Linked DNA regions of Coturnix japonica. The protein of the gene in region 1 purifies or fractionates together with the protein of each later gene. This does not show direct contact. Links are inferred from orthologs where the notes say so. Each region holds a gene or a part of one and is shown on either strand. Other genes may lie near its edges.

Evidence for each region. Proteins that work in one complex are often made in the same cells at the same time.
Region 2: the proteins of VAPB (region 1) and VPS13A purify together in Homo sapiens (affinity purification with mass spectrometry; 3 studies listed by BioGRID and IntAct, counting the BioPlex papers as one, with this or other methods). This does not show direct contact. The link is inferred for Coturnix japonica from reciprocal best matches to the Homo sapiens genes VAPB and VPS13A.

Annotation. Positions count from the first base shown.
Region 1 is NC_029535.1:10,102,600-10,106,099, forward strand, and holds part of VAPB (vesicle-associated membrane protein-associated protein B/C), read right to left. Parts: intron 2,166-3,500; coding exon 2,085-2,165; intron 994-2,084; coding exon 817-993; intron 1-816. UniProt on the Homo sapiens protein: Endoplasmic reticulum (ER)-anchored protein that mediates the formation of contact sites between the ER and endosomes via interaction with FFAT motif-containing proteins such as STARD3 or WDR44.
Region 2 is NC_029547.1:33,864,697-33,868,196, reverse strand, and holds part of VPS13A (vacuolar protein sorting-associated protein 13A), read right to left. Parts: intron 3,339-3,500; coding exon 3,295-3,338; intron 2,730-3,294; coding exon 2,687-2,729; intron 1,763-2,686; coding exon 1,667-1,762; intron 1,407-1,666; coding exon 1,305-1,406; intron 800-1,304; coding exon 690-799; intron 414-689; coding exon 354-413; intron 1-353. UniProt on the Homo sapiens protein: Mediates the transfer of lipids between membranes at organelle contact sites. Binds phospholipids. Required for the formation or stabilization of ER-mitochondria contact sites which enable transfer of lipids between the ER and mitochondria.

The DNA of each region.
Region 1 (3,500 bases):
TTCTAGCCATCTCCTGTACAGCATCTTTATTCTGTCCCAGCTGAAACCAGCACATAAATGAAACACACTCGTAGAGCATTTATTGTACTGGGAGACACAAGAAGGACCAGGACATAAGAAGTTAAGCTTGTGTCTCTGCTACACACACACGTTACTTCTATGAGTAAAACACAAATGTTTCATAGAGCTTCAAAGAATTTCAACGTGCATCAACCAGCCACACAACATCAGAGCTGACAGAACAGAGTTCCTTTCATTAGGGCCCAGCATTAACAAATGCTGCATTTCCTACCAGTGCTGATACCTCTGAAACTAAATATCTATAATAAATGAAACCCAAACAGGTCCCCAGCTTGGTGATAATTTTCTCACCTGTTTGATTTCGCAGTCACATGCTGGGTATGACCAGAAATGCATTTCTTGTGCTACTTCAGTCATGTCAACTATGAGCTAGAGGCGTCATGACTAACACGTAGCATTGGCACAAAGCTGCCCTCAAACTCCCATCAGTCAGAGAGCACAGGGCCAAATCCAACACTGAATGCTTAATCCAGACTCAGGAAATGAGGTGGGGGAAAAAGAAATAAAAATGAGTGGGGATTCATTCCTTTGGGTTGCTATCCCATCAGCTTCTCCAACTGCATGAGCTGCGAGTTCCTTTCAGAGGAACCATTGATTTCCACACTTTTTTTTTCTGGCTTTATATATGTTGATTGACAACATTAAAATATTGTGCCAAGGATAAGCAAACAAGCCTTTCAGTCTGAATCTTTTATGTCAGGAGAGAAGTAAACATGGAAAAGAAGGAATCTTTACCTTAAACTGTTTATTCTCCTCCCGTAACCTCTGAACTTCTACTTGCAGCCTCTTATATTCTTCCATTATTTTCTTAACTTCAGCGTCATCCAAGGAAGAGCTTATTGATTTAGACATTACAGAGGAATCTGTCTTTGTTGCAGTTGTGGATACAATTTTGTTTATTTCTATGTCATGCTGTTAAAAAAAAGAATGACTTCTGGTTAGTTATTAACACCACATCTGATACTCATGAGGAGAATCGAGTAAGATCTCCTGTTCTACTCAAAATGTGCCTGTATCAAAAGAAGTAAACAACCTTTTTCTATCTTCAACCCTTATTTCCCCTTCCTGACCTGATCTGCAGCAGTAAGTGCTGACAAAAGGACCCCTTGTTTTCAGTCCTTGCACATATATGAGCGGAAATGCCATCAGACCACGTCCCACAGTATCAGAAATGTGACTTATCTGCTGACGTTCTGCTTGGAGTCGTGGTGCTTTCCACACCTTTCCCTCTCCAAGCACAACACAAGCAGCTGCTCCAAGAAGCAGCATGTTGTCAGGAACCACCCAGCTGCTCTGCTGCAGTTCTCTCATCCTTCCCCCCACTGGTTATCACATCTCCATCCTCTTGTTTTCCTGTGGCGAAGAGGAACTCCCAGCCCAAGTCAGGAAACAAAGGCTGCAGAGCTCCAAAGCCCACTGCTTCTCTTGGATTTGAATCCTCCCTCTGTTGTGCAAAGGGCTGGGCTCTAACAAAAACAAAATGCTCATTCCTCACCCAAATTTCTACCCATCTCTTAAAATGAAGCTTTCATTTATAAGTTATCAGGAACTTGTTACTATACCTGCTTTGTTTTCTCCTGATAATTTTTATAGATTATAGAAAAAGTTACCCCCAAACAGAACAGCTGTTAATTCCCACCTAATTCAGATTTCTTTCCTCATCACATCCCTCAACAGAGAAGCTCTCAGCTTTATCAATACCAATCAGTGCTTTGTTTAAAAATAACATTTTTATCCTATGCGATCATTTACTCAACAAAGAAAGAACAACTCAAAGATTTCCTTGTGCTTCCAATGCACTTACAAGGTTCAAATTAGCCGCTAGCAATGTAAAGCATCGCTAGGATTTAAAATGGTTTTATTTTATATTTTAAGAGGACGTGATGTAGGCAGCAAAGCAGAGTGCTCTGCCTGTTGCTTCCATGGCTGCCTGGACACACATGCCATTTTACATGATTTACCGAGGCATTAAAGTCACTTGATATGCAGCTAAAAATACTCACAGGCTTATCATTTTCCGTCGGTAGCTCAAACACACACCTAAGTTTTGAATCCATGAGTTCCTCCGGCTTTGCCTCTTTCCACTGGAATAATTTAATATTAAACAGGATAGTATAATAAGACACATCGAAAAGGTACTGTAGTATATAAACAAATCACACCATCCAATGAAAAACTGCACAAGCATTTATCACATTACCATTAAACATATACAGAACCAGAAATGGAAACCAAATGCACAGCTGAGCAGTAGCTTAGAAGGCCAGACTCCATCACTCTTAATAGTCTGAAACTCAGGTAACTTAAGAGAGAAAATGGAGTTCTTATGACTTTTCCTCACTTTGACCACACTTCTGGTATCACCGTATCGCTCAGCATATCTCAAGTAGGTGTCAAATTATGGGTAACCCCTGTGCAACCTGCAGAAGAACTTGACTCATCCTAAACAGCCGAATCGTACTTCAGTTCTTCTCTGTGGTTGAAGTCAGAGTTCTATTTTAAGCCTGTTGGCTGCCTGAGAAGCGCTGAAAGCTTTATAGTAGCCCAGTAATTTGTCTCACCTGTTTATCCAGAATAGGAAGATATTTGGAGAGTGGTAACAAAACTGAGAAGTGATCAAATGTTACAGGAAAAGAAATGGCACTGGGCTGGAGAGCTCCAGGAAACTGAAAAGACCATCTAGATCCTTAAAAACATTCTTTGCTAGCAGAATAATATTTTATATGGTATAAAGTAACTCATAAAATTAAAGGGTTAGAGATGCAGACTGGCTCATTCACCTAACGATGCAGACATTTCATTGCTATTCCTGTTTCTCTCACTGGATCTTATTTTAAAGCCATTAAACAAACACAGTGCCATTAATCCCCTCCAAAAAGGGAAATTCTCAACTCTACCAAAAAGGCCTCAGCTCTGAAGAACTGTTCAGAAGACGTGCAAAGACTGCTGAAAAAAACCATAATTTTATAAAAAAAAACCCTCTACCCACCAAAAAACCATGCTGCATATTCTAGGGCTGTTTTCTGCATATTCTAGGGTCTGTTTTCTGTTGTTGTTTTGTTTTAAATAAAGTAATGTGTACATTCAAATATAAACGTAGCCCCAGACATTACAGAATAATGGACATTTCTTCTTACTTATTGTGTCCTCAATAGTTATTAAATATTCTCTCAAACTAACAAAAGTTAGAGCAGAGTAAGCTTCCTTTTGCTTTCCTGTAGTAGTAGCAAAACCATACACTTCTGTTACTACCACTTGTAATCCACCATACAAGATCTATATGGGCAACTTAGTTATTTAAGCAGCAACAGAAGGAACAGAGAAAAAAACAATACTTGTAAGACATTTTCCTGGCGCCCACTGGGCAAAGGATCTGCTCAAGGGAAGAAATCAAGACAGACTACAAAGACACGCAATAT
Region 2 (3,500 bases), on another chromosome or scaffold:
GGGGCTTATGCCAATTTCAATAAAACACCCATAGATTACAAACAGCACAAATTTAGAAAAGTCTGATGACTTGCAACCACAGATTGCAAAGGCAGAATAAAAATTTCCTCCCAGATGTCTGTTCAAGAGCCAGGATTTAATCTTTAATCGCAATATCTCCACTCCAAAATTTGTGCTTGATTTGATAAACCAAATAATTTTAAACCAAATACCATTGTGTTTAGCCCATGATGAGAATTCATCCATTAGACTATATGTTGCCAGATATAAAAACTTACATTAACATAACCTACATCATATACATCTCCTTAACCTATGCATCAACATGGTTTTTAGATGAAAAATAATATTACCTGCAAACTTAGGTTCTGAAGTGAAATCCCAAATGACAAGGGGTTACTTCGATTTGTGATCTGACGAAGTGAGGGCAATACCAAAAGAAGATTATATTGTGCTTAACATTTATACTTGAAAATAGACAGACAACAGTAAAAACACACACACATGTATCTTCATGCCTTGGTACAAGCTTTTTATTAATTTTCATGCTTTACTTTAAGACCATGAAACTTAAAAACCCTTAACAGTATTCTGTCAACATACAAAATAACAGGGAAAAAAAATTAAAAGCTCCTCATTTACTATAGTTGTTCATATCCCCTTATCTTATGATAGACAAAATCACTTACATCATCCTCATAGCGAATGTGGATGTTGGAAATTTTCACTTGAAGATTTTTGATGACCTGAGTGACTAGTTTTTCTACAAAAGTGTCTTGTTTCTCTTCTTTCACTTTATCTAAGTTTAAAAAAAAAAAGAAAAGAATTTAATAAAATTAATTTGACAAATGCTTAAATTTTATATTACTCTGTACACTCATTTCTTAAAAACATTATCTCTCAGTATGACATGTAACATTTACATCCTCAGCCTACAAAGTTTCAGCCTATGATATGATACACGTGATTCAAAAGTATGTAAGTATGAGATGGCAACCATCTCATTTTTCCAGGAGGAACATTTTGCAGTACCAATGCAACCTACATATTCAAATTTCAAGACAGTGTCGGATTTCCAAAGATGAACACTATTTCACACAAAATATTCAACAGCTAACAGCTAAGTCAAATAGTACTCAAGACAAATCCAAAAACACAAACCTTCCTAAATGAAAATAAAGACCTGTAATTGTAGTTTAAATATTGAGACAAAACAAAAAGTCTAGAACACTAAGTGAGAAATCCAACATCTTTCTGAATTAAAAAATAAAAGTAGCAATACTGTAATTAGCTCTCACTCTTACCTTGGTCAGCTATTTTCTGCTTTGCTTCCTCTATCCTTTGCAGTTCCCTTTGCCTTGCCTCCATGAGCTGCTTAGCCTCTTTTTCGGCATCATATTTTATGCCTAAATACACAATATTAAAAGGTGAGATACAAAAATCTTTATGTGTTTTGATATTTTTACAAAATAATTTTTTTCACACTTTGTTTGTGACTCTATAACAACAAAAAATTATTTGACTAAATCTAAACTTCTGAAGGTTACTCCACTGACATTTACCCAGTGTGTACCGGAAATAAAGCTCATGAAAGCAATATCAACCAACTACAGCAACTTCTGAAATTCCATCCACGCTTTTTTTTTCCCCCTCTATATTAACTTACTGGCTGTGGGCACAATAAGCAAATAAACTCCATCAAGAACTGCCTCAACAGGTTGAGTATAAAGGTTTTGCCATGGAATCTGAAGGTTAAGTTGACCTACAAATACAAAAGAAAAACGCTGAGCTATGCAGTCAAACTGCAGACAAGAGAAAAAAGTTATTAATTATTAAAAAGATAATTGGCATTAACTACAAAAGCTCTAAACTTTTTTGAACAGAAAAAGCAGTGCATCTGAAGTGGATTTCCTTTGGATCATCTGTCTGAAGTAGTACGCAGATAACATTCAACAAGTTTTCTGCATGAGACAAACATGTAATTCTTCTCCTTACTCTCTTGAACTATATTCACTCTTCACAACAATCTCCCCTTCCTTCCCAATCCACTATAGGATGCTCTCACACACCCACAGAATAGGACAACTCACACATTTTCAGTCACTTAAACACTGCCAAAACTAGAATTTTTAAAATATTTTTTAAAAATATTTTCATGAAGGAGAGTGTTTAATAGTGCACACATGTCTGTGAGCATGATGATCCCAACATTACAGCATCCCTCATTCTTCATATAGGTGCCATTTTTAATAAAATATGAAGTTAGTCACACACACAAAAATTATTTCCAGAGGAAGTCTAAGGGAAACGTGGCTTTAGACTTAGTTCATTTTAAGAAATCATTCACTTTTAAAATGCAGTCACTTAGCAGTGAGAAATGTATTTCATAAAAGGGAAAAGACAAAGGGAAGGAGGTGGCGAAATCAGAGATGAATCTTACTGAAACAACGGATGAGACACATTTCTATCAGCTTCATCTTTTGCTACACTGTGTTCATTTTTTGTTAATGTTGATAAGACTAAACAAGACCACATACATTTTAACTTCATTTTAACTCAAGGGAAAAAGAATGCTCGAAGTATGAAAATCAAGAAAACTACTTGCTTGCAATGCCTAAAGCCACCTGCAAATAAAAAGGGTATGTTCAGTAATTCCTGCAGGAATTAATTACAAAATGTAACTTACCAATATGTCCTGCTTTAACTTTAAATGGCACATCCAGCTGACTCTGAAACAAAGCATTTTAAAGTATTTCAGCAACTTGTGAAATATTGTCAAATAGGAATAGAAGACAGATAAACTTAACAACAAATATACCACTTAACCATTGAAGGAAAAAAAACAAACCACACACACACCCCAAATAAATAAATAAATAAGACCAATATATTAAATATAGCAGAATGCAAAAACAATGAGTTTCTTGTTTAGACTGTTACGCCATGCACATTCTTCAGGGCAAATTTCTACTCCATATACTATAGAAAAAAAATTAATATATATATAGCTTCCAGTACTTTTTTTTAAAATTATTATTTATTTAAACACACTCCTATACGAGTTTTCTTTTTGCAAAATATGCTAATTGAAGTCAGTAAATATATGTGTTCATCTTAAACTTAATACCAAATTCACTAGATAACATTAGTGGGGGAATGGGGGGGGGGAGGAACACAACACCAAAAACATGGATGCACATCCTAAAGTAAGAACCAGAAAGAAAAAAATCAACCAAAAAGTGCCCTACAATATTTTTTTTGCAACAATTTGTGTCTTTGCTTTCATTGTCTTACCAGTGCGTTTTCTTTTATTTCAAGATTCTTCAGTGCTACAGCTCCTAAAAGCGAAAAAGCCCATAAGTAAAACTACAATAAGCATAGTAGTAGCAGTGTACACTTAACAAGTCTTAGCTGTGGAACTAATCCACATCTCAAATATCCACAAAAGATTAAGAATGCATTGCCCATTCCCACTACAGAGAAATATTTCTCTGAAATTT